7 linked regions of the Nothobranchius furzeri genome follow. The protein of the gene in region 2 interacts with the protein of the main gene of each other region in a biochemical or structural test. Links are inferred from orthologs where the notes say so. Each region holds a gene or a part of one and is shown on either strand. Other genes may lie near its edges. The genes, in order: nr0b2a, pparg, ncoa6, histone deacetylase 4, cdk5, histone acetyltransferase KAT5 and ncoa4.

What was found.
Region 1: the proteins of pparg (region 2) and nr0b2a form a complex in vitro, tested with the Homo sapiens proteins (2 studies listed by BioGRID, with this or other methods). The link is inferred for Nothobranchius furzeri from reciprocal best matches to the Homo sapiens genes PPARG and NR0B2.
Region 3: the proteins of pparg (region 2) and ncoa6 interact in a test that uses a peptide from one of them, tested with the Homo sapiens proteins (2 studies listed by BioGRID). The link is inferred for Nothobranchius furzeri from reciprocal best matches to the Homo sapiens genes PPARG and NCOA6.
Region 4: the proteins of pparg (region 2) and histone deacetylase 4 form a complex in vitro, tested with the Homo sapiens proteins (2 studies listed by BioGRID). The link is inferred for Nothobranchius furzeri from reciprocal best matches to the Homo sapiens genes PPARG and HDAC4.
Region 5: of the proteins of pparg (region 2) and cdk5, one has a biochemical effect on the other in vitro, tested with the Homo sapiens proteins (3 studies listed by BioGRID, with this or other methods). The link is inferred for Nothobranchius furzeri from reciprocal best matches to the Homo sapiens genes PPARG and CDK5.
Region 6: the proteins of pparg (region 2) and histone acetyltransferase KAT5 form a complex in vitro, tested with the Homo sapiens proteins (2 studies listed by BioGRID, with this or other methods). The link is inferred for Nothobranchius furzeri from reciprocal best matches to the Homo sapiens genes PPARG and KAT5.
Region 7: the proteins of pparg (region 2) and ncoa4 form a complex in vitro, tested with the Homo sapiens proteins (2 studies listed by BioGRID, with this or other methods). The link is inferred for Nothobranchius furzeri from reciprocal best matches to the Homo sapiens genes PPARG and NCOA4.

Annotation. Positions count from the first base shown.
Region 1 is NC_091745.1:40,694,226-40,697,736, reverse strand, and holds nr0b2a (nuclear receptor subfamily 0 group B member 2a), read right to left. Parts: upstream 2,028-3,511; 5' UTR 1,589-2,027; coding exon 1,054-1,588; intron 969-1,053; coding exon 703-968; 3' UTR 501-702; downstream 1-500. UniProt on the Homo sapiens protein: Transcriptional regulator that acts as a negative regulator of receptor-dependent signaling pathways. Specifically inhibits transactivation of the nuclear receptor with which it interacts.
Region 2 is NC_091743.1:63,419,765-63,423,908, reverse strand, and holds the start of pparg (peroxisome proliferator-activated receptor gamma), read right to left. Parts: upstream 2,801-4,144; 5' UTR 2,500-2,800; coding exon 2,448-2,499; intron 1-2,447. UniProt on the Homo sapiens protein: Nuclear receptor that binds peroxisome proliferators such as hypolipidemic drugs and fatty acids.
Region 3 is NC_091755.1:60,747,824-60,751,863, reverse strand, and holds the start of ncoa6 (nuclear receptor coactivator 6), read right to left. Parts: upstream 2,801-4,040; 5' UTR 2,672-2,800; intron 1,269-2,671; 5' UTR 1,189-1,268; coding exon 945-1,188; intron 802-944; coding exon 646-801; intron 554-645; coding exon 431-553; intron 1-430. UniProt on the Homo sapiens protein: Nuclear receptor coactivator that directly binds nuclear receptors and stimulates the transcriptional activities in a hormone-dependent fashion. Coactivates expression in an agonist- and AF2-dependent manner.
Region 4 is NC_091754.1:47,188,773-47,192,272, forward strand, and holds part of histone deacetylase 4, read right to left. Parts: intron 2,392-3,500; coding exon 2,179-2,391; intron 1,695-2,178; coding exon 1,499-1,694; intron 1,225-1,498; coding exon 1,091-1,224; intron 1,019-1,090; coding exon 916-1,018; intron 844-915; coding exon 797-843; intron 713-796; coding exon 605-712; intron 1-604. UniProt on the Homo sapiens protein: Responsible for the deacetylation of lysine residues on the N-terminal part of the core histones (H2A, H2B, H3 and H4).
Region 5 is NC_091751.1:49,909,088-49,912,759, reverse strand, and holds the end of cdk5 (cyclin-dependent kinase 5), read right to left. Parts: intron 2,823-3,672; coding exon 2,726-2,822; intron 1,393-2,725; coding exon 1,323-1,392; intron 1,226-1,322; coding exon 1,165-1,225; intron 1,051-1,164; coding exon 970-1,050; intron 859-969; coding exon 772-858; 3' UTR 501-771; downstream 1-500. UniProt on the Homo sapiens protein: Proline-directed serine/threonine-protein kinase essential for neuronal cell cycle arrest and differentiation and may be involved in apoptotic cell death in neuronal diseases by triggering abortive cell cycle re-entry. Interacts with D1 and D3-type G1 cyclins.
Region 6 is NC_091750.1:47,314,777-47,318,705, forward strand, and holds the start of histone acetyltransferase KAT5, read right to left. Parts: upstream 2,801-3,929; 5' UTR 2,732-2,800; coding exon 2,702-2,731; intron 2,622-2,701; coding exon 2,555-2,621; intron 1-2,554. UniProt on the Homo sapiens protein: Catalytic subunit of the NuA4 histone acetyltransferase complex, a multiprotein complex involved in transcriptional activation of select genes principally by acetylation of nucleosomal histones H2A and H4.
Region 7 is NC_091752.1:62,469,924-62,473,888, reverse strand, and holds the start of ncoa4 (nuclear receptor coactivator 4), read right to left. Parts: upstream 2,801-3,965; 5' UTR 2,578-2,800; coding exon 2,345-2,577; intron 956-2,344; exon of another isoform or gene 780-955; intron 1-779. UniProt on the Homo sapiens protein: Cargo receptor for the autophagic turnover of the iron-binding ferritin complex, playing a central role in iron homeostasis. Acts as an adapter for delivery of ferritin to lysosomes and autophagic degradation of ferritin, a process named ferritinophagy.

The sequences.
Region 1 (3,511 bases), on a different chromosome or scaffold from region 2:
ACGCGTAACCCCATTTCCACCGGCTCACCGCCCCCACCAGCACATTCCTGTTTTACCTGTACGAGTTGTCATGTAAAGACAGGGTTTCACAACTAACATACCACAAAGTAGGATGACTAAGCCTGATTTCTCAAATAACTACATGCAGACAGTGTTTTTTTATACTGCGCTGAGTTTAGCGTTCGTGCCATTCTGTCCCTTTTTGTGACGATGGGGTGGGGGGATCTTGATGCTGTGGTTTTGTGAGAAATGCAAAAGTAAGAAAATATTTGCCGCTAGTCTTCTGAGAAAAAAAAACTTCCACCAAACGTCCTCTAGAGGGAGACACAGCACAGCAGTACAGGCAGAAAAAAGGTTTTCTGTTCCATTTGAAGCCACAAATGTGTGTTTTCATTCTAATTTTAGATTCTCTCCTTTAACGCGCAGGCTTACGCTTGACTTTCTGAAAAGTTTGCTGAGCACAACATGTAATGGAGGATGGATCCACGGATCGGACTCAGTCGTGTACAAAAATATATTTATTCAAGTTTTCTGGAAATGCAGATGCTTATTTACAGCAGAGGAGCTCATCGACACGTAGGATCAAAACTCAAAAACCTCTCAGGAGTTCTGCTCAGACGGTGAAGTGACCTCAGCTTCAGCGGACGAAAGTCAAAACCCTAGTGTGCTTTATAGAAGCCTCTAAAGCACGCTGCATGGAGGTCACCATCCCGAGGACCACCCCTCCCATCGGCTGAAGAGCATGTCGACCAGCAGCTCCAGCAGGTTGGCCTGGCCTATCACAGGCCTGAAGAAGAGTTCGGTGATGAGGCTGGGTGTGATGCCCTGCAGCATGGAGGCTGTGAGGAGGATCCGAGCAAAGCGCTCCTGGTTGCCAGGGTGAAGCAGCTGGACCACCTCGCTCAGGGCGTGCTGAGCTTCCTGCTGCAAGCCTTCGACAAACAGGCCTGCCTTCAAATCTGGTACATCTGTTTGAGAGAAAACCAGAATTGTTGCTTGACAAACGAGTCCTTGGATTATCTGTTGTCTGAATCCAGTTAACGCAGTACATACCTGGATTAAATATCGTGGTCCCTTTCAGGTAAGCGTACTCCTTTGGGCTCACATCTAGACTCCAGAACTTTTTGAGACACGACTTGAGTTTGCTGATGCCTGCCATGGTTGGCTGCTCCCGCTCTGTTTCAGGGCTCTCCTGGCAGTTCAGGAGAATCTTCTTCAGCATGCTGTCAGCAGGGACGTCCGCCACCTCAAAGTCCACGCGCTCCTGGGCCAAACCCAAAATAAAAAGTGGCACCCAGCTGCTTTTAAGTAGTGCAAACTGGTCACTGGGTGGCAGCTGGTTAAACGCTGGCAAGTTCTTCATGAAGTGGACGGTTTTCACCAGAACTGCAGACGCCTCTTTGCAGACCACAGACGGCCTTTTTAAGCACACTCTCCGCCGCGTCTCACAGTTGCATCTGTGAGGAACGGAACTGTGGCTGGAGGTGTCTGGAGTCGGTCTACCGCTGTCCATCTGGCTCAAGATGTTGTAGAGGATCGGGTTTAACTGCCTTTGTTTGTTAGCGGAACACTGGCATCTGTTATCCATCTTTCTTCGATGCGGCTGCTCCTCTGAACCTCTTCTCTGCCACGACGGGCTCCGTCTGAGCTTCTGAGAGCTGCTGCTTCCTCCAGTCTTATTTATAAGGCCAACCCTCCCTTCTTAGTGGACCTTGAAATGTCAATACACCCAATGTGAAAAACAACCGCGCGCTCTGCCAGGTGACTGCTGGAATAACCCTGGGAAACAGATAAGCTTTTCTCATTGAGAAGTAGCTGCTGGAGTCACACATGGATATCAAGTGGGATTGGCCTTATCTGGAAGGCAGTGTCATCAACCCAGGCAGTACCAAGCTACCAAGGACTGCAGAGGTAATCAGCCCCACGCTGTGTCACTGCACCCGCCAGCTCACACCTGTAGTGCTGGAAGGAGGCCAGACCACAAAGGAGGCCGTTGACCTTCACATCGTGTTCTCATCAAACGTAGTTTAGTTTAGACAAACGTTTCCAAACCGGGAACAGTGGGAATTATGCTTCAATTTTAGGGAAACAGTAGTAGTAGCATAAAACCACCAAATAATTCCCGACCACAGCTGCAGTTCTCCGCTCCCCACGGGGATGGGTCAAATGCGGAGATGAATTTCAACAGTGTGTGATGACTAAAGGAACTATTGAAATGATTCCAAATGACTTCGGGAAGAATATAAAACAAGTTCATCGCTGTAGCGAGCCCCCTAGGGGCAAGTTGCATTGATAGCTTAACCTGTAACTCTGGGGTGGGAACAAACGGTAAAATGTACACTTAATGCATCTAATCCTCAGAAGTCCCAAAGCATACTTCAACCTTATAACCACTTCACCTACTAACCTTTAAAATCGGACCGGCTAGCAGCAACGCGACTCTACCACTGACTCTGTTTGCTCTTCAACGTTGATGTTTTCTCTCCACAAATAACACGAGCCTGGAGGAGGTCTGCTGTGTGGTGGAGTTGCTTGTGCTAACGTTAGCTTCTACTACCTCTCTGCTGTTTCCTGGATGCTAAGCCAACAACAGCCGCGAGTCAAGGAGGGTGAGTCCATGAATGTTAGGTGACAGCGTGGCGTAGATCTGTCAGGCTTTTCAAATCCTAGGTGTAGGAGACTATTTTCATGTTCAGCATGAACGAAACACTCGGAGACCGATTATAATCAGAAATAATAATTAAAACTTTTTTTCAGTGTTCCACACCGTTAATGGATATCCATCAAGATTTGCGTTTTAATTCTGCCTTTTCGATCTTTAACACGATTATTACACAGAAGATTAAAAGGTTGTTTGTGTGATCGTAAGGGTCGTGTGTAAGACCAGTTTTTCATTTGAAACATGCACAGAAGTGTTTGTTAGTGATCTGGAACGTAATTAACCCGTTTTACAAATGTCTGCTTCTATAGTTTCTTTGTTTGCATTTGCTTTTGCCCAGTTCCTGAGTAACAGCTGCATTTACGTAGAAGTTTTTGAACATGTTTATTTTGCTGTCAACACATTTGAAATGAAATGAGGCATTCTAACTGCAGATGTTCCGTTTGTGAGACAAACTTATCTAAAAAAGCATCTTGATCAAAAAAGAAATAGTGTTATTGTTTTTACAAATGTTACATTCTCTTGTTGTTGGCCATTTCACAACTAATCTCAATAATGTACATGTTTTTCTTCAGTTCAGATTATTTATATAGCTCCTAACTCAGCAGACGGCATCGAGTCACTGACTAGGTCTTTGCAGCAATCCTCAAAAGCAAGTGTGTAGCGACAGTGGGGATTGGGAAGTCAGCGCAAACACACACACACACACACACACACACACACACACACACACACACACACACACACACACACACACACACACACACACACACACACACACACACACACACACACACACACACACACACACCAAGTGGTGTTCCTATGGCTAGATTGTGATTTCTTATTAAA
Region 2 (4,144 bases):
ATGAAACCAAAATTAATTCATCATAGAGCTTATCATCAAATATAATTAAAAAAACCTAACATTCAGTCATTAGTGTGAAATCTATGTAGATACTAACTTATCAAATCTAATTTTCTTCTTGACTGATCGGTTGCATGGAGAAACTATGATGAACTGAGAGCAAAGCTGAGAGATGAGAATAGCTGCCACGGGAGCCTGGAAGTCCAAACGGAGACAGTGCAATCAAAATGTGTTTTTTCCAGGAGTGTCCATACTTGGAAAAAGAACTGTATGGAAAATAAATAATGGTTGCAATGCCATAGTGAGTGCTGGGTCATAACTGAAAGTAATTGAGTATTTTATGTTGCACATCACACACTGTACGTCACATAACTGTGGAAATATGTGCCATGAAAAGAGGCATGACTAAATAGAAGGATACTTTCAAAGCGGAACATGACAAAATAATTTTAATAATGATTCTTTTGGAGCCCAAAGCAAAATGCGTACTTAATTAATCACACATCTCTCTGTCAAAGTACAAAAGATTAACAAGTACAGAAAAGTTTTATTAGCAAACAACTTGCCAGTGTCCAAAGTTTTGTTTGGTGTCAATAAAAGTTTGCATCTGCAGCCAAAATGTTGCGGTTCGTAGACAGAAAATGATGAAATGATAGCCCTGAAGTTAATAATTACACCTAATTTAAAAATAAATTGACAACCTTAGGGTTAAACCACTTCAAACGCCAGCATTATCTGATGAAACCTAATCAGAAAAGCCTTTTAAAACACTTATTCACTGCATGAAATTAAAATGAACAAAGCAGGATTTTGGCAGTGCAGAAGCAAAAGTGGTTAATTATCTGTGGGTTCATCCAGAGCATGTCATTCTCTTTTATCTGAATGTTTATGCAAAAACAGATGTTTAGACAGTCTTCCTTCCTTTTGCGATTACATTTCGCTCTTAAAACTGTAGGTGACTGAAGTACCTTCCAAAAGGTTGTGGCAGAAAAAGTTGATATTTCTTTCTTTTACATCAATAGAAAGCTTCAAAAATGACAATAAGTGACAAGAAGTAACTTGAACTCTTTAGCACACAATTAAAATAGCTTTATGTGCAGGTGTGTTATCCACAAAGCGAGTGATCAACAACAAAGAAATAGCAACGTATCTTGAAGCACTCCTTTCGTTTACGACAACAGAACAAAGTCCGAATCTGTCTCAGTCATTCATACACACATGCACCAACAAACACATGGACGCACCTTACTCTAAGAATTATATAACCTGATAAATGAGTGATTTAGGGCATGCAGTTGCATCAACGCCTGTATCGAAGCTGCTGTTAGACTTTAAGTCATTTATGTAAAGATTACAGGATGTTTTTTTACCTGAGCTAGTATTACTGATTCAAGCTGCATGAGATTTATGACACCAGAATCCGAGGCAAAACTTTCAGGACTGCACTCAATTTCTTCCAAATGAATAGCTGATGAAAATGCTTGCATTCAAATAAATAATACTTAAAATAAACCAAGCTGCTGCTGTAATAAAAGTAATATTTATGCTTTTACCTGAAGGTGCATTTATAAATACAAAAACACGCCTTGATAATTAATCACTCAATAAAAAATGTATTATGCTTTGTCTCATTTAAAAAAGGACATAATAAACTATGATCAGCTTAGTGATAAACTCGTCCTATCGCATCTGGAATGTTTGATGGACAATTTTGCTTAAACCCAATAATAATTTGTTAACCTTTAAAATGCTATTTATTGATTTAGAGACATTTTGACAGAGTTTGACCTGCAGCAGTTTATTGATAATCAGAAGTACAGAAAACTCGATTTAAAGATATTAGTCTAAATTTTAAACAAAGTTGCTGAAGCTAAATATTTGCCTACATTAAGTGATTGTTTTGTTGTGTATCGCCAGATCACAACTCTGACTAAAATAAGAACAAAACAAGTACATTTAAAAAAGTAACACTAAAATAACGTTCCAAGAAAAAAACATAATACAGAAAATACAAATGACACCGAGCACAAATTTAGTGAGCAAAATGTCAAAAGGGAGTAAAAGGTGATGATTTACATCTGGTAATGCTAAGCATTTATTAAATATTCTGATCATAATTACTGTTTTGACTGATATCTATAACACGTTTCCATTTTGCAGCTTGTTTTCACCATTATCAGTCCCATTAAAGGATAAACCAACAGATCAGATTTATTCCCCACATGAGTTCAAAATTAATTCATCAAAACCCAAAGTGGAAAAAACAGGAGTGACTGTGTCAGTCTACATTATTATAGCTGAGTCACAACTCTTATGTAGCAGTTACTGTAGAAGAATCTACAGTGAATCAGCACATGTGACCCCCCCCCCCCCCCCCCCCCCACACACACACACACACACACACTCTAAAACACTAGAACCCAACAGCAGGCATCACCTGGTCTTACCTGAGAAGATGTGACCACTTAGATGGTGAAAATCTCTGCCTGGTGTTTGCATGTCAAGCTCACACTCGCACTGTGGCCCAGAGACACACTCTGGACCAACTCCTGACGTGCATGCCAGTTGTCAGCCCTGTGGCCGCACCCCCTCTCTATCGCCACCCCCAATCTACGCCACTGGCTACTTGTCACTCTCTAGGAAGTGTCCACCTTAAGTCGACATGTTTGAAAAAAGTAAAACTTTAGTATGAAATCAAAAAGTTAAAAGTTATCCTTATTGTTTTAAAATGACACAAAAACTGATGCAGACACTTAAACCCAGTCTTCTGAATTACTTTACTTTTTATGACGTTTGCAGTGTTTTATTACTCCTAGCAGCCACAACTCCAAGCACAATAAATAGTGAACTCAGAAGGGGGTGACTGACCTGATCAGTGTGTTGAACCGCAGAGGACAGAGAGAGTCCACGGGCTGCGTTTCCGGTGTTGGACCGCACTTTCTCGGTCGTGTTTAGCTCGCCTCCCCCCTGGAACCGGGGGCTTGGGCACCGAACAGCCGCAGCAGTGTGGTTGGGTCCGGGTCCGTTCGCTGTGGAGCGCTCAGCTCCTGCTGCTGCTACGGTGCGTGTGTGAGCCTTGCCTGGTGCGTCTCTCCCCTCCCTCCTCTCGGCTCAACCTCCAGGGATTTAAGGACACATAAAAAGGCGTCAAATTACCTTCTAAAGCTCCGATTTACTTAATCGGATCTATTTAAACTGATTTATTATGCGCAGAAAACACAGGTACTGTTACAAGTTTTTATTTATGAGAGTGGATCTTATAAGGCACCTAATGAGTGAAATAGCATCACACAAAATGAATTCTTTAATCTGGCATCAACTCGGAATTTTTCAGAAAAACTGCAAAATCTTCTAGCTAATCATAAACTAATGTTTTAGGAAACATTTGTTGTTTATTAAGTCAAATATGGCTCAGCATGCACCAAGAAACAACCTATAAGTGTAATAAAATGAATGTATTTTTTAAAGTTGATCTCACCTATCAGCACATCAAAGCTGCATGGAGCTCATAGGAAGCTGAACACATTTTAAATTGTGGTTTGTGGCTAACTAGCCACACTTTTAGCCATGGCCAGCTACTTCCTCATATTAGCATATTTAGTCAAGTTAAAGCTGCAAAGGCAAGTTTGGAAAACAAATTAGCTTAAAACATGTTTCCATGCCCCTTAACAACATTTAAACATAGTATAGCAATACATATTTTGTGGAGAATGATAAATAAATAAATAAACAACTAGTATAGAATAGACTTTTTTTGATCCCACAGTGGAGAAATTCACTTGTTACAGCACCACCAACACTTAAGAGAATAATTTGAAGAAAAATAATAACAAAGGTACATGTACAATACATAAAATATATACATAAAACAAAGTGGTTCTCTTGCATTTGTCTAAAAATCTCCGCCAATACCAATGAGCCGCCCGAGATTTTGAGAAGTCAAGTGGTCACACAGGACACTTCTTGGAAAGTCGCGCGATAGTCACAACATCACACGGGACTTGAGAACAGGAAGCGGGAAGTGACACGTGATCAGACTTGCCATCGTGTTTTGTGACTCAAATTCATTAAAAATGGGTAAGTACGCTATTTATTAGAATGTTTTATAATCAATAGTACTTTAAAGTTATCAAAACTGTGACTG
Region 3 (4,040 bases), on a different chromosome or scaffold from region 2:
ATATTTATGTTAAACATTGTTAGAAACAATGCAACACAAAAATTCACATGAACCAAATAAAGATGAAGAAATTTTAAAATAAAATACAAGCTTACTGTGATGAAAGTTTGGAAACCTGCGTGTTAATAATATGTTAGAAGCTAATGGCATATAAGGGAATTAGCGTTAGCGTTAACAAGCGTTGATATGACTTCACTGTCGCCCAGAATATTTTACAGAGGATGTTTTTCTGCTCAGCATCAGACTCCTTAAACCTAAACCAGGCCAGTATAAATTATGTCTTCGTCTTCTCATCAACTTGCTCTGCGCTGAAGCTGCTGCTGCTTTCGACAGCATTCATGTGTGATCACGTTTGGACAGTAAAGCCAAAATCTCTACTAGTAGACTAGAGTACTGTTAATTTTTTTGTTAAACTTTTGGAAAAACTTACCTGGGCCAGGCTGACCTGGAAAGCCACCATCCATTCTCATCTGACCAGGTGCACCAATTGGTCCATTCACTCTGACTTCTTGTCCTCTGTTTGGTCCCACAGCCACATTAATTGCTCCCTCTCCTGAACACCAAGATTAAATCATTGCATAAATGAATTTTTATGAAGACAAAAGGAGGAGATCTGCATGAATTCTTTTTGGACTGAGCTATTACCTTCTATTTGCACAGAGAGAATACCCAGGTCTCTGAGCTGCTGCTGGTTGTTTTGGGCCAACAACCGGAGTCGCTCAGCAGCATCCCGGGGAATGTTGAATGTGACACGGACACTGTTCCACGGCTCAACATGTTTAGGCTGCAGCCGTTCTGGGCCTAAAATAAAGTGTATTTAGTTAGTGTTGGTTGGAAAATGCTTAACAGGTCAGTGCAAGATATATATTTTTGAATCAAATACACGTAAATGAGCTCAAATAAAACAAAGTAACAAAACAAATTGAATAAAAATAAACACAAACCCAAATTAAGAACATCAGGTATCCCATTGAGGATAGTTTCTAGTTTTTGAGTGAAGTTCTCATCATCCATGTTTCCTTGAAAGGCAACAAAGACTGTGAAGTCCTCCTCTCCATTTTCTCTAGTGTCTTCTTGCTCCATGGGTCCAACTTCTTCTGTTACGTTGCATTTCTCAGAGCTATCTGCGTCTTCTCCAGAATCTTCTCCAACACCAGAGTCTCTGTCCGATTCACCATCAGGCTCCATGTACGCAGTCTTCTGGGATGAGGAATGTTCAGCAGCTATCCTCCCTTCCTTGTTAGGAGTGGTGTCTAAACCGTTTTATGCTGTAATTACAGATTATTCAAACTTTAGATTACAGCATTTTCTTATCAAATACTATTATTCCATACTTTGCCTATCTCAAATGTATGTACTGCCCAGAAAAGTCTATGGTATTGATTAATTTAATAATTATTTGATAAATTATGCTTTTTCTATAAACTGTTTCAGCTTAAAGTAAAAAGCTGCTTACGCTATGGGTTCCCAATTTTCTACAATTTCGTAGAATGCATTTAAAATGGAAAGTTTTGGGAACATAACAGCTCATCTTAGAATATTTTTAATTTCCCATTAATATATTGAGACCTTCGACAGTTCTTAAAGAGCAAGTCACCCCCAAATCTACTTTTTTTTTTGCTGATAAACTATATAAATGTGTGTCTAAATGTGCTGCAGACACGTGTAGTCAATAATTTGGTACTTCAGTGCATCTTAGTTAAAATTGAAATATTCTGCCTAAAACTGTCAATGTTGCGCCGTTGTCAGGTAAAAACTCTGCACTGCATTTGAATTTAAATCTGCCACCGCTATTGGCTAAGAGGTATGCTATGATGTAAACTGGTACATTATGATGTCACAGTGCCGTTGTGAGCCTGTGTGTGTGTGTGTGTGTATTTGTTAGTGGCTCCGCCCTCTCGGTCTGCTAGGCAACAGCATTTGTTGCATTTTTCAAACATGAAGAGGGAGTGAAATAAGTTTCTTGTAGGGGGTGACTTGCTCTTTAATTGTTTTAGAAACCCTGAACACAGCCAAGAAACAACAGTTATAGTAAGTTGCTAGAGGCTGAAGAGTATTCTATATAACATTCGATTCGAGTAAAACAAAGACAAGCAAAAAAAGTCATAATTTCTATTTGCAAACCAGAAAAAGAAGCAAATAAATGAGTTTGTAACTCAATGAAGCAGACACCTGGAGGTGACATCACTGACCGGTGATTAGCTTATTAAGCAGAGGTGCTCTGATTGGTAGTCACATTACTTTCAGAGTTGTGAGATTTCTTGATATGGGAGTTAAACTTGTTAGTAATAATATAATATATTTTTATAATGATGATCATCCTGGTTTCAGTCACCGGCGCTGCAGGAGTGTGGGCCTTAACGCAGTAAGCTAACATTCAAACAAAATCCACAAGTAAACTCTGTTTCTTACCAAATTGTGCATTTTCATCGTGGTGCAATTAACACTTACATTTCAAATGTATACGTTTTAGCAGCACACAGAAAGAGTGAAATTGAAAGTGGTTCCTATTGGTTTTCCGAAAAATCCTGTTAGCATCAGTTAGCTATGTAGCTAGATGTCAGTCTCCAGACGCGAATGAATCCAAGCAGCGAACCGTAGCTGGTTTAATTTGCCTTTCAACAGTTTTCGTTAATAAAAACAAGGAGAAAGGAATATACAAAGACCTTACCAAACATATCCATATACGAATACGTTCAACTAGTCGACATCTGTTTGCTAGACAGGCTAACAAAATAGGATGAATGTCATAAGCAAGCTAACTAACAAAGGTTGTTTCCGGTTTTCTTTTTCAAAATAAAAGCTCAAAAGGTAAACGCACTCCTTAGGTTAACAAGTTCATGACTATTTCCTAAATAGTCCTGAATAAACTGAGCTGTTTTATCTATTTTTCAAATTGTATTAAATGCAAGTATGATGACAAATTGCGGAACACTGCTTATGTGGGTATGTGCAAACATTTTTATTTCACAAATTTGAACAAAACCGATTTTTCCTTCAATTATAAACACAAAATAATCAAACATCAGGTGTGCAAATGTGTGCATTAACAGTACACAAGACAAGACTCTAAGATTAGAAACCTATTTGATCAATTTAGTGTGAGAGAAAAACGTGTTCGATTTTACTTCTATTATTCCGCTTAATTGCACCAAAAACACATGACACCCATCCCGAAGAGTTCCAGGCTGAATATAGATTTTAGGAATAAAAACATCTACAGTCAAACAGTGATGTAAAAATTGATTTTACATTAAACTGTTTTAATTCCCATTCAGAGAACAAGGGTGACCCTCTCTCAAATAATTCTAATGATTTTCAAGAAAAGCAGCAAATAAACCACTAAAACTATATTAAGAATGCAAAAAGAACAGTAACAATATAAGAAATACTTTAAAATCAATAAAACCATCTCAGTAAAAGTAGTAAACCAAGATGTGGAAATCACATTCCTGTTAAACATCTCTGTCTGGGTATGTTATCACCTAACATGTTCTCAAAAAGAAGGTAAAACTCCAGCAGCTGTGCAAGACAACATAATCACAGTTACATGCCACACTACAAGCAAGGGAAGGACAGTTAGACAAAGACAAAGCAAGTCTCTTCACTTGTCATCTAGCAACATCCTTGGTAATATTTGGAATAATTGACAAAAAACATTAAAAAATAAGTTGACTGTTAATGCATGTACTGCACACTATGCATTTTTTTGTACATTTTACATTATTGGTTTATGATTTCATTTATTGCTCAATAATTTACCTCTGAAATTCTGACTAAACAGTGATAGAGAAAATACTCTCAAACATTCCTCTCATAAGTTCAGCAATTACATTATTTCATTTGCAGCTAACTTTAGTGCCACTGCTGGGTGGGCTTTTACTTTGAAAACCTTGTACCGTGTGACTCGAGCAAACAGATGTGAGGTGAACTCACAGAAAGCTAAGTGGATTTTTATTTAAATGGCAGTTTGCTGTGAGATTTTGATGACTGTAGTAGTTTGATCATTTTTATTCCACCTTTTCTTCTTTCACTAGTAT
Region 4 (3,500 bases), on a different chromosome or scaffold from region 2:
GGGACCGGTGGCGCCTGTGCTTGGCAGCTTCGCCTCTGTCAGTGCGCCCCAGAGCAGCTGTGGCTACAATGTAGCTCATCACCACCAGTGTGTGAATGTGTGAATTACTGATTGTGTTGTAACACACCTTGGGGGTTCCAGGACTCTAGAAGGTGCTGTATCAAAAAAAAGGCCATTTACCATGTAGATAGCTTCCTGAATAGCCTCAGTTTGAAGACACAGTATTTACATGCTAAAGGATTGATGAGCTAACGGCTAGTCTGAGCACAGGTGTCATCTTTATGAAGCTCCAGTCTACGAAACTTCAGAGAAGTTTGAGTTTCATTTGGTAAACTTTAACAATGATGTTACTTATCAGTTACTCATTTCTGTTACTCATTAGTTACACAGTTACACACTCATTTCTGTTACTCATTAGTTTCTCAGTTACTCACTCATCCGTTACTCAGTTACTGATCAGTTAGTAACCCACTCATCAGTTACTAAGTTACTACAGCTTTGGCTCGTAGGTCAGAAAACCTCCCTAAGTGATTTTCCTCCAACAGGAACCCAAATCAAAATGGCTGAAGTATCATTTTTGAATAGAATGAGAGTATTATTTTACCTTCAGCTCTCCAGTGGCCACTTTGAAAACCAGCTCCACCACCGAGCCGACGGCGAGGCGAGCGGCGCTGGACGAGTGGACCTCATTCCAAATGGTGTCACTGTCCACCTGAAACACCCAGATGTTTAACTGCTGCAGTGGTTAAATACATTTAGACAATAAAACCGTCGGATCTTTCATGCCGTCACTCACCCCCACTCCTCCACACGGGAGCCGTACAAACATGGGTGTTACCGAACCTGCAGATCAGATGTAACGTCCGTTAGAGGAGATCAGCGGCAAAGTGTTTTCACTCTGAGCTCCAGGCTTACAATCAAGTTTCTGTCGGAGCGGGTTGGTTCCATACAGCAGCACGTGGGCCTCAGAGTGGACAGTCTGCAGCTCCTCCAGAGTGGCCTTCCTCCCCCGGATGCACTAAACACACAAACACAACAGCTTTCACACATCTGGCCTCAGAGCAAGACCGTCAGCACCCACGGCTCCTACCTCACACTGCGCTCTGAGCCCGGTCTCCTGCAGCCGAGACCAGATGCTCTGGATCCGCCCGGCGTGCTCCGGGTGGCTGTTGGTGTTCCCACACATGCACTGGTGCTTCTGCATCAGGGAGTCGTACACCAGACCTGGGTGGGAAAGCAGACGGCCCAGTTTCACCACAACCTGAGTTCTAACCTCAGAACAAACAAATGTCTGTGGTTCTGATCCGGGCAGCTCTGGGGGTAAAACGGCCCAACTACAAATATCTCCTTCTCTTCTGCGTTAATGCAGGTAAAACCGACACCAACAGCTTCCTTAAAGAGACTTAAGAGAGGAGATCTGAAGAAGAAGGTTCGGTTTTTAAACATTTCCGTCCCTAATGCTTCAGAAACAGAAGGGAGACATGATGACGATGCAAACCTGTGGTGAAGCGCGATTTGACGGGAGGATCAGCTGTAGGGACGCTGAGAGGAAACGAGGACGCTGAAGCTGGAGACGACTGGGCCCTGGACAGGGGACGGTGTCCTGGGAAGGAGACGGACAAACCGGCCGCCTCCATCGATGCCTGATAGTTTCTGAGCTGGTGAATCCGCTGCTGCTCCAGTAGGAGAGCCTGCTGCTCAGAGGGGAGAATAAAGGAGGAAACCAGGATTATTCATCAGTTGGGAAACACGGCCCAGAGATCACATTTAAAAGACCCTTCCGTGTGTTATGACCTCCTTCTGCCACCTTAAAACCACAGAAAGTTCATGTCTGTTCGTAATGATTATTTTACTTTTATCAAAGTCAAAATGTGGAGAAAACATCGGATACTTATAAAAGCAGTTTTGAGTTTCACCCTAAACCAGCTCTAATCAGCTTCAGATGAGTTGAGGTATTTGTGTATGTAGAGACTCTTATTTTGAAGGACTGAACCCTTTTTTAAGGCTTAACCTGTAAAACCCACCTGAACCCTTGGTCAGATCAGAACAAATCCACTCTTCTCTGACAGTAGTATTTAAAAAGTAAAGATGATAACAGGGCAGGAGGAAGTGTGGGTGCAGCGAGTGACCAGCAGGTGGCAGTGTAAACACATCATTCAGCTGCTTAACTCATCTTACCTGTCTGAAGAGCAGCTCCTGCTCTACCTGTCTCTCCAGGTGCTGCTGCAGCACCTCCTCCTGCAGCTCCTGTGGGTCTGGGGGCTCCTGCTTGATGGTGACCCCCAGCGGCAGTACTCCTCCGTCCTGGTGCTCCCTCAGCTCCTCCTCTGTCTCCTCCGGGTGGCTCTGGTGCTGCCGACCCACGGGTGACTCGCTGGGCTTCCCGATCATCTGCAGAAGGATGAGAACCAGCTGGATGTGACAGATCCCACAAACCAAACTCCTGTTCTCCTCTAACGAGCTTCATCATGATGGCTCCGGCGTGCCTCTAACAGGGTGAGTGCCTCGCTCCACGTGTGACATCACTCAGACATTCCAGCATGCTGCCAGCGACTCATCCAGGGGCCCCGACCCCATGCGCTCATTCATCCCCACTGATTGGTGGACGCGGGTGTTTATGACGCAGAAACTCGCAAGAAAGAGGAGAGTTTGCAGCAGGTCCCAAGTGGGCTCCATCTACAGGTGTGTGTGTGTGCGTGCGTTCCCAAAGCTACAGTCCTCTGGGTCTGCTGGCATCGTGCCAGGGGACATCAATGACGCCAGAGCATTCACCCCCTCGCTCTGATCCTGCTCAACTTTCCCAGAATTCCCATCTTTATTCCCGTTGCAGCAGATCTAAACAAACATGTTAAATGAAAAAAAAATAAAAATAAAAAAATAAACTCGTCTACATAAACGGATGATTTATTTGGGTTTTTCTAGCTGCTGTTGCTTGTTCTAACTTGCATTTATTATGTATTTTTATTGTTAATCAGAATCATTTTAGTTATGTGCTCTTTATTTATACCTGATTCATGTTTTTTTTACACAACATCATTAAAAAAGAAAATTTTCTGACTTTTACTTTGAAAAACCTTTACTTGTTCCTACCTTTATCCTATTGCTCATCAGTGATATTTTAGTCATCTCAAAGTCTCTGTGTGACTCATCTTTCCTGCAAATTTCAGATTTTTCAAACAGTCTCTTCTTTTTTAGAGCCTTTTATTTAGAAAAACCTTCCTCTTTTGTTTTTCTTGCTGTTTTTATGGTTTAAGAGTCCAGAATGAGGTTAGATTAGTTCAGAAGGTTCTGTCTCAACAAACGTTGATCCAGAATGAGGACAGGAGCTTTTGGCCTGTAGCCTGGATGGATCAGGAGCATCAGAACCCGGTTCGGGTCCGTCTGGGTTAGCTACGACCACGTTGGGTCATAAGGCTCTGCTATGTATTTATTTCTTTACATGTTGAATGATTGTTTATTTACTTAAAGCAGTAAAGTTAAACTAATCACCTTCTAGATGA
Region 5 (3,672 bases), on a different chromosome or scaffold from region 2:
TGACGTGATTTGGGGACTGTCCGGACACGTTAATGCAGAACTGAGCTGTCTGTTTGGTCTGTGTCAAGTACCCAAGTGGGTACAATAATAATAAAATCAGTGTGTGCAAAAAATCTCATAAAAGACTTCACATCTACTGCCATCTTTACATTATTTGTCCAGAGTCACAGGATTTCAGTCGCTGTCTGAGCTCATTTACTTTCACATTTTCCCATTCCTGCTAGTATAAATATTTGTTAAGGGGATTAAAATGTCTGTACACATCTCTGCAGATTCAGTCGGTTTAAGCTACTTCCTTAGGGATACTACTGACTCTTTTACAAAGGCTGAGTGAGTAATTGATGCGTTATATACAAGCACTTTGATTCTCAAGCATCTGAGATAATTAAACAAGTTAAATGAGTATCGATTAGGACAAATCCCAGTTAAAACTTAATAAATTAAAATTCTGATAATAAAACACTATTAAAACAGGCAAAATAGCAGGAAATAAACAATTCTAGGAATATATAAAAAAAAATTTATTCAATGCAACATCTGCTCATGTTGGTGCTAACTGGCTGAGGTGTGTTTGGACCAAATTACACAGGCATTTAACTTAGAAGGCCCTAAAACACAGCAGAGCCACCGGGGCTTTGTTTCACACACAGGCACAAAAGAACGAACTGCTCAAGTACCAGTGAGGGGTTTGAGAGGTGGTTCTAATGATAAAACGAGTGATGGATTATTGGTTCCTGTGTCTCTGATCCTCAGTAAGGAGCAATTTAGTGTTTAGGGTGGGCAGAAATCAGCAAAGTAAGGGTGCTGCAAGGCCTCTTCCGCTGAAATCCTCTGGACAGGATTACATTTCAACAGGTTCTGGATCAGATCAAGGGAAAGGTTTTAATGAGCAACAATCTGTGCAAAGCATAAAAGCTGACAACAGTCATGCATTGAATTATTTTTTTATAAATAGAAATGTTGAAGTACCTGCAGTAGATCTCGTCCTGTGCTGCTTAGCTTGGGAACCACGTTCACCAGTGATGTGGTGGCTGGATACATGGGATATGGCTGGTGGAAGAATACAAGAGTAGCAGTGTCTTTATTGGAAAAAAGGTCCAAAAATCTTGTGTTGGAACCAACGTCCAAGGCTGCTGTCAAGAGAAAATCAGCCACTAAATTTACCTTGTAATCAGGAAGCTTCGTCATAGTCGGCCACTGTTCCTCGGTGGGTGTTCCCAACAATGTAGGCAGTGGTTAAAGACTAAATGTTTACAGGAATAATAATAAAAACAGAAGTCTACTCTTGGTAACAGATGGACAGATTTACTGGCAAAGGATATCTGAAGATTCTTTTCAGCTGGTCGTCCACGTCATTGCCAGGGAATAATGGCCGTCCAGCATTAGCCAGCTCTAGAGCAAAACAACAAAACATCGGATTTTTTTAAATGCAACACTTGAACAAGTGTTCCCTAATCAATGCCTCAGCACCGCTCTCTTGGTCCACCAGGCGACACCTCCTTTTGGTTTCAAACAGGAAGTGTAGGTGGAGTGAGACTCTGGTGGGAGGGTGACTTGCTCTTTAAAGAAACACTAAAGAGTTTAACAGTTTAAGGTAATGCTTTCAAGCTGGTTTCAGTGGTTCTTGAACCCGAAGTTGAGCAGCTTCACATGTGACAGCACTCTGCAGCTCTCTTCTGGCCAGAAACTGCACCAAGCAACTTTGTGGTTCAGGAAAGGACAAGTGAGAGGTGCAGCAACAGTTGGGGTGTTTACTATGCTGGTAGCTAATAAAAAGGCTACCAGGTAGCTCTTTTTAGTTTGTTGATCATTAGTTAAAAAAAAGTGTAAAAAGAAGAGTTTTTTGTTTGCATCATGGTGGTGCCTGGAAGTAAAAAGAGAGGCAAAGCAAAGAAAGCATGAACTGGACAAAGAGTGAACATTGGTGCGGTCTACATTGGAGGCTGTGGCAGGATTAACCAGTTTGACTATTAACCGTGGTTAACGCCACCAGGTGGCGGCTACCTATTAAAAATCAAGACAATAGCACGGGCACGGACAAAAACAAAAGTGAAACTGAATGCGCACACACAGCAGAAGCAGGACCAGTGACAACCACCATCAGGACTGCTCCATTTCTACCGAGGAAACAGTTGTAGTCTCCTGTGTGGGAAGATATCTAATATCTAAAATATTCCCAACAATTACTTTGAGAGAAGGCACGAGGGACAGGTGTGAGGAAGGTCACAACTTTGAATAACTACTCTTCAGAATCCTCTCATCCCCTTGGGGTGATTACAAGAGGAGATTTCCCTTTCCTGAGTGATGGAGGAGGAGGAAATGATTTCTGATTCACAAGAGGACGTGAGGAAGCATAAGTTAGCATAATTTAAAGCATCAACGGTGTCACTGATTTCACTTAAGCAGGCATAAATAATCCTTCAGCTACTGTTGAGAGTAATTGAGCTGAAACTTAAAATACATATTTGGCTAAATAAATTCTCCTCATCAGCTAAAAAGCCACTGTGCTTACTGCACCTGAACTTCCCATGCATTCTTATACATCTGGATTTTATTTTGTACAAAGTAAAAGAATTGCATGAGATAAAACTGCAGTTGTAATTATTAGCTAATAGTAATCAAATTACTAAAGTAGATAAAATATGAATATTTAACCATTTACACACAAATAATGACTTATAAAAACTTTACCTTTCACATTCACAAGTGGAAAAAAATAACAAACCTGCAAATATGCACCCGGCTGACCACATGTCGATGGAGGTAGAATAAAGTTTAGCGCCAAATAAGACATCTGGAGGTCGATACCACAACGTCACCACCTGCAGAGACGTTAGCAGCATTACAACAGCCCAGTGTTTTGGTGCTTTTTGAGGTGAATCCAACTTGAAGTTCCCGCAGCACCGTTAACCTACACCCACCTCCATTTTAACTCAAGCGTTGGTGCATTTGACCAAATTGCTGCATTGCCGGCTATTTTACATTTATTCCTCCAAGTTTTGGAAAACACTGTCACCTGAAGTGCAGTAGAAGTCCAAATTATGATGCATTAACAGAACAGTGTGTGGGCTGGCTGGTTTTCAGCAACAAAGGATCAAAAGTTCTCACAGCGATGCTGATGTTAATGATGTGGCCACCTGTTACTGAAACAGCATTTTGTACATGAATGAACTGAACGTGTCACTGAGGTAAAGGAACACCCTGTAGAAAAACAAAAAGCTTCACAGAAGGTGCAAGATTTCTCCTGAAACAGCTGTGCTTGTTTATACTACCGAGTTTGTTTAAAACTGACAGAAGTAACTTTTGGTGTTTAACTTCAAGCTGCAGAAGAATTCTTTAGAAGTTTTGCTAAAAGGTTTGAAGAAATAGGATAAATAATGAGTAAAGAAGTCCCGGTCCCAACATATAAAAAACTATGGAACTAGGACTGGGACAATATTACATTAAACTTGTACTTAGTTTTGTAACTTGTAATATGTTTTGTAACTATGACGTTGTAGAATGTAATTTTCATTTTGTAACATGTAAAGCCGGGGGTACACTGTGCGACTTTTTCACTCGCAGCGTTCAGCTTCAGCTCAAACTGTACGACTTCCTCGCAGAGCAGATCTCACGAGTCGTGTGCTCACACTGTACGACCCAGTTCTCGCATGCGATCTGACTGCTCACACT
Region 6 (3,929 bases), on a different chromosome or scaffold from region 2:
CTGAAGCGCTCTTTACAGATGTCAAACTAGGTTTTAAACCAATAACAGCTTAAACTAGGGGTAGACCGATATACAAGGCAAATATTTGGCGTTCTTTATAAATCGGCAGAAGCATTGCGGTTTTGAGAAGTCAAGTGGTCAAACATGATGCGCCGCTGAGCACTTCTCGGAAAGTCGTGCGATAGTCACATCAGGCCGAACTTGAGAACAGGAAGCAGAAAATGACTTTCGTTTTTACGAGATCAGACTTGCCGTCGTGTTTTGAGAGACACTAGTTATTAAAAATGGGTAAGTACGCTATTTATTAGAATATTTTAATATAGTATTTCAAATTAATCACTGCTTTAAAAATGATTTCCAACTCAAAATTATTTTTATTTACCAGTTTTGAATATCAAATAATTGACACGTCACTTAACGGATTTGTTTGATTACCTTTTATTTAAATGTCTGATATTAACACTGAGCTGTGTTCAAAATTAGGATTTAACAGTTGGTTAAAAAACTGATTCAGAAATTTTGTGCATCAACTGATGTTATCTGACGTTTTAGCATGAAAATAAGGTGAAAATATTTAGATATCGGACATAAAAATATCGGCTGCACAAATCGGACATCAGCTGACCTTTTACATATCGGCAATCAAACCAATATCGGTCGACCTCTAGTTTAAACTACAGGTTTAATTACACTGTAGTTTATCAGAGCCCTTCCATGCATTTCTATGCAGCTATAACAGTGATGGGAATAACGCCGTTTAAAATAACGGCGTTCTTTTTTTGGGTAACGGAATAATCTAATTAATTACTTTTCCCACTGTTGCAACACCGTTACCGTTACTGGGGATGGAAGGTTGTGCGTTACTATGTGCTTGTCGAACGTTGAGCAACAGTGTGAGGCTTTCTGACCGCCACACTTCAGCTGCAGCCAGGGAGAGAGAGGTGTCAGTAACGCACTTACAAACCCGATGATGATTGGCCGGGTGGGCGGAGACCCTCACTGTCTCAGTCACTGCATGCTGTAGACTCAACAGAGCAGTGATGGGAATAACGCCGGTTAAAATAACCGCGTTACTAAAAAAAATATTTCTTTCAGTAACGAGCAACCTAATTAATTACCATCTTCTTTTATCAAAATGTCGTTTCTGTTACGTATAAGAAATGTGTGCGTTAAGCAGCGCAGTGTGTTGAAGCTGTCATCAGCTGATCAGGAGCTAAAGAGGCAGATGTTTTCATCCAAGTGCATCACGGCCCGTGAAGAACGAGGAAGACGTGATGAATAGTCTACGGCTGCAGGTGTGGGTCTGCAGCCGTGCCCTTTAACGTGACAGCGGGACGTCCTGAAGGTCCGCTCACCTGTTCACCACTCAGACGTCCTGATCTTCTACCTTCCTAGATCATCCAGCTGTAGCCTGTTTCTGATCATGTCTTTAGTCCCGCTGTAACACTGATGCATCAGTCTCAAACGTCATGGAGCTCAGGTGTTATTAGAACCACCCAGCTTCAGCTCTTCTGTGTTTGGGTCTGACCCACGTTAGTAAATGTAAGTCCTCCATCAGATTTGTGCCTCTTCTACTGTCATTTTAAAGGATTTTTATTTATTTATTTAACCATTACTAGATTACCAGCAACAGAAATGCTACTAATAACACACAATTATGTGAAGTTGGAAAAGTTAAAATACTGTAATTTACATTCATTTCTGTCATTTAACTAGACTGAGAGACCATTTAAAGGCTCGGGAACCTTTACAGGTGTTTCTATTTGCAATTTTAAATTTTAGCTGATTGGGGTCTTGTTAAATATCACACAGTGACGTTTTAATAGTTTAGATAAGTGTAATGCTCCTGTTCCTCCTGTTAAGTGCTTATTTATTTAAATTATTCAGGTTTACAAAAAACATTTTGACATACGTTTTATTATGTTCCAGTCACTAGTCATTTATATTTCACTATTGTAGTAATTAATAGTAAATAAGTTCAATTAACCCATTTTCTTGCATTCTTTAATGAAAAAAGTAAATAAGTAGTTATTTTTCTTGGTAATTAGTTACTTTTATAATCTCGTAACTCAGTTAGTAAGTGAGTTACTTTTTTGACAAAGTAATTAGTAACTATTACTAATTACTTTTTAAAAGTAACTTTCCCCAACACTGGATATAACAGTGTTTAGTGTGTTGAACTTGGTATTTTAATTTTAAATCTTAATTATTTCATTTGTATTATTAGTGTCTTCATTTTGTCTTACGATTTGAAGTTGGTTTTTATTCCTGCGCGAGAAATGAACGTTCATATTCTAAATCAATAAAGATTAACATGAATGTTTGTTGACATTTAATAAAGATATTTGATTACGCTTCTGCAGACAGGATTCAACAGTTAAGCCTCAAAAATAAAGAGTGGCTTCAAAAGCGTTCTACATTAGCACACCTTCTCAATCTTAGTAACACTTTAGTTTTTTTGTCTACCTGGAAGACGAGGTGTCTGCTAACAGCCAGCTGAGCTTCGATAGTTAGCATTAGCTTAGCACCAGGGAAACAAACGGACAACACTTACGCCATTCGTCCTCGTGTTCTTGGTTTTTACGAAGAACCGGTAGGCGACAGCCTTCGACAATTTCGACCTGTTGTTGATGAAACGTTATTTTACAACCAAATAATGGTCAATGTCTAAAAAGTAGCATAGTTTCTCTGGAGAACCTACCGAAGACGAGCTGTCCACCATTTTCGTCATCTGTGAGTGCAGCAGCAGGGTGTTGTGGGAAAATGCCGGTCCACGCCAAAGATGAAAACATACGTCAAGATAGTTGTTTGTGCCCTGTCACCGGAAGTTAGTGAGCTATCTTAAATGAGGCAAACAACGCAAACAGAATGGCTTCACTACTTGAGTTATTAATAGTAATAACACATTATGTTTTAAACAGGAAGAGAATTTATGTATTTGAATTTCACAAAGAATGTATACACCACTCAAATAATTACAATAAAAACTATATACAACTAAACCAGTAACAAAATAGAAATGCTGTTCTATTTGACTTTTTTATCTATGTGAACTTTAAAAAAAATTTATTTAGTCGTTTGATTTAATTGATGAAAACCAACTCAGTCTATAAGGCATTTATATGTTTTATTTAGGTCAGTTTCACGGAACACGAGAACTCGATCCTGTCTAGAGTAAAGATTTTTCCGCCCTCTGGCGGACCCAAGCCATTACAACAACATTTGGATTGCGTGATCAAATTAGTTAATTTGTAAATTAAAGTGACATGGTAAGTCAACTTCCTGTGTGTGTGTGTGTGTGTGTGTGTGTGTGTGTGTGTGTGTGTGTGTGTGTGTGTGTGTGTGTGTGTGTGTGTGTGTGTGTGTGTGTGTGAAGTTAAAAAGGTTTGTACTGCATTATGAAGCAAGTGTATTTTTGCACCAATCTGCCACACGAGAGCAGCAGTCTTCCATTGTTGGGAGCAAAAATGCTGCAGTTAATCACATTATTATAGAGGTGAGATTATTAGTTTTTCCTGTAATTGCTGAGAGCTTTGCCGACTCATAATGTGTTTTGTTTTCTTTTAGGAAAGAGGGAATTTTACAAAGTAACATGCTTATGGAGCAAAATGGATTTTACTATATCACAAGTTTACATCCATATTGTTTCCTGCTGTAAAAAAAAGTATGACAAACCATTCAAACTAAACTTAAATTTTGATCAGATTTTAATCAGTTTCTAAACATGTGCAATAGAAAATCTTCCTAATTTAATAGTACATCACTGAAATGTTGGAGAACACAACCCCCATGTTTACCCTCCTTAATGAGCTGTTAAGAAGCATCTGATTAAATTCATGTGTCCAGTAAAATGTTAAAATTAACAATAAAATTGCACCTGAAGTTGTCATCTCGTTAGATCTCTGGTAGATTTAGACGCTGGTGCCTCA
Region 7 (3,965 bases), on a different chromosome or scaffold from region 2:
GTCATAAACATTAAAATACAGATGTAGAATTAACAGTTCTAAAATGTAATTAAATAATACGGTGTAATCTACCAGAATAAATAACCAGTTAAAAGCTAAGCTAAAACGGTGGGTCTTTAGCCCGCTCGTACAAACATGGACGTTCTCTACGGCCCTGAGGTTCTCCAGCAGCCTGATCCAGAGGTGAGGGTCATAAAACTGAAAGGCTGCCTCGCCGTGAGTGCGTGTCCTGACTTTAGGCATAACCAGGAGGTGGCTGCCAGAGGCCACAAGGGTTCATATGGTAAAAGCAGGTCTGACAGATAAGAGGGCCAAAGGCCATAAAGACTCTTAAACACCATTAAGAGAACCTTAAAATCATTCCTGAAACATACGGGGAGCCAATGACTGGTGCGATGTGCTCCCACCTCCTGGTCCTCAACAGAAGTCGTAAACCTGAGTTGTTTCTTCTGGGAAAACCAGAAAGCAGGGTATTACAGTAGTCTATTCTGCTGGTGATGACAGCACGCATCAGCATGTTCTGACTCATTTAACCCCTCTAACAGAGCCAGGCCAGCCTCTTCAGCCTGAACATGAGCACACCTGAAGCTTTGTCCTCCAGGTCAAACAGCAGCCAGGATGGGTCCAAACTCTGTCGACCTAAACAAAGGGCACGACTCACCTCAGCATCACCAGCTGACTCAGCTGTTTGTGCACGCTGCTGCATTGTGCTCAGTGGCTCCCCACCATCTACTGGATTAAACCAGTCTTACCGGTAAACCACACGCAACTGTACACACCTAGACAGTCTGGTGTCCAGCACAGCCAGGTCCAGATTAGCTCAGCAGGTCCAAAGTTGTGCAGAAGCCCGTTAATGAGCTGAAACCCACAGGACTGACTTCTGTCTGAAAAACAACAAGGGTGGAGGCGGAAGTGGCTTCAGCAGCTCCTTTCAGCTGTGGGGAAGTGGGCGTGGCCTGAGCAGCAGCTATCAGCTGTGGGGAAGTGGGCGTGGCCTGAGCAAAAGCCATATCAGCTGTGAACAGTCAGCTGATGTCAGCTTTGATAACAGAGCATCCAGAGTTTAGGCCAGTCTAGGACCTTCATGTTGACCCAGTCACACTCCAAAAACGGGCTCTCAAGCTGACCCTCAGAGGCTCCTGTAGTCCAGATTCATCTGCTCAACATGAAGCACAAACCAGCAAGACCTCTTCCTCTGATCCCGATAACACACACACACACACACACACACACACACACACACACACACACACACACACACACACACACACACACACACACACACACACACACACACACACACACACACACACACACACACACACACACACACACACACACACACACACACACACACACACACACACACACACACACACACACACACACACACACACACACACACACACACACACACACACACACACACACACACACACACACACACACACACACACACACACACACACACACACACACACACACACACACACACACACACACACACACACACACACACACACACACACACACACACACACACACACACACACACACACACAGCTGCTGGAACTGTCACATCAATAGTCCTGATACTCTGACCCGACCCATGTCAACTTGGACTAGCGCAGAAGGACCAGTCAGCAATTACAGCGAGCTTATCTGTAGCCGTCAGCAGGACTCGATGTTCCCTCTCTGACCCGAACAACCACCGGAACCACCTGATGGTTTACCAGGAGGTGACCCACCACAGGCCCAGCCGGGCCCAAAGGAGCCGAACCAGACTAAATCTTCTTAAGTGCTTCATGCAGCTTGAGCTCTAAACCGGATCCGCTGCAAACGCGGTGTCAGATTCATGTGTTCTCGCGATGACTGTCCTCCATGACCGTCTACAAGGCCGCACGTACACACACACGAACCCGGTCACCCCCTTCAATCACTCCATACCTTTAACCCACGTGACGAGCAGCAGACAGGTCCAGTCACAGACATTTATGTCTGCACATGTGTCTGTGGGTCCAGCAGGGACTCCTCGACGCTACCAGCTCTTGGCTTTAGCCAAGTTTAGCATTTGTACGGTAAGACAGGCCTCTGGGGCCCCTACTGGGGTTCCGGTGAATGTGAGACATGACACACGCTGGGCTCCCTGGCCAAAGGAGCAGAACGCCACATAGAACCAGGACAACCCGACTGAAGCACGGGGACTAACGCGACACCACGGCCACCGCCAGAAAACACAACAGAAAGTACCAGACCCGATCATCGCCATTTTTACCCAGTTACATATTTATGAACAGACAAGAAGGAAACCCAGCTAACTCCGAGTTAGCCGTTTCCGGATTACCGTGTGGCTTTGCTGTTAAGCCTCGACTTCGATGACATAGGCGACTCGGATCGATTCTCTGACACCACAGATGGAAGAATGTTCGCGGAGAACCAATGTCTCCTCGGACAGCTACCGACGTTCACGTCACGGAAAGAAAAAAAATCGCTATGAAGATGAAGTCTCGCGATAACTGAAGGAAATTTTTGGATTGAGCGGAGCCAGGCGACGAACAGCACATGGCTGGTCAACATGAAGAGTCGCCCACATAGATATGCGTGACCTGGAGGGTTGGATGCTTAGATCCTAAAACCGTAGGTAATAATAACCCTTGATGAAAACAGCAGAGGCTTATTCACAAGTTTAACAATTTTATTCAGAAGATACAGAACAGGAGATTTATTAAAGACAACCCAGGTCGGTGATAAAAATAGGCTAAAACTCTAAACCACGAGAGGGAGGAGCGATGACAATGCTGGCCCTGGGACTACACACAATTATTTAAAAGCACAAAGCCACTGTAGGGAACCGACACAAGAGACAATAATATAAAGAAAAACACTCAGTGCTCCCTTTAACTAAAGCTCATACACACGTCCAGGGGCGTAGCACCAAATTCTGGGCCCTAGGTACAAGTCTTCTAGGTGGGCCCCCATGCTCAATTACGTAATATCTCTTACACATTTTTGTCATGCTATAAAAATAATAAATATGATCCTAGTTTAACCTCTATATTAGCAAATACAAATGCCAGCATAATAAAAATGAAATGCCCAGACTTCACATATAATTATTTTTTATTTGCCAACAATGTGTTCAAACAAAAATCCTGGAATTTATTTTCCAGTAAATGCCCACTGACGGGTCTTCATGTTAGCAAAATCACTTATGAGATCTTTAAAGTCCAATCCTTTGACTAATTGGCTTTCAATAGAAAGAAGAGCTAGGCTGTTCAGTCTATCCTGGGACATTGTTGATCTCAAATAATTTTTCACCAGTTTCACTTTGCTAAAAGCCCGTTCACCCCCAGCAACAGTCACAGGTAGTGTGCAAAAAATCCTCAGTTTAATACAAACTTCTCCAAAAATGCTCTGTAATTGCATCCTGTATGGCATTAAGCAGCTCAAGGGGAGACCGAATGTGTGGGAATGTGGCACCATATATTGTTCTCAGGTGTAGCATCTCATTCTCATATTCAGCTGTGAGATCCTTGTAATATTTTCTCATCAGTGCCTGGCATGATATCTTCATCTGCTCTTCAGTCATGTCTGTCATGGTTCATGATGTTAAGCTTTGCGAATACTGATTGATATATTAAATACATATGACATGAAATAAACCAGGTTCTCTCTGTGAATGTAATGTACTCCAAATTTTATAATCCCTGCATTATCAGCTAAATTATAAGATTGTCCGTTTTCAAGATCAAATATAAAGAAATTTAAAATAGGCTTAAAATATCTAACCAAGTCAATAACAATCCTCTAACACCAGTGTCATCATGCTATATGAAAAACAGTGGCAGCTTCTCATTCCTGTGATTACCACGAACCCATCGATACCAAGTTTGTCCTGGTCCATGACTGGGAAGGAGCTGAAATATCCACACAGAGTGAACCTGTTTTTACTGCGAGGTCCGCGA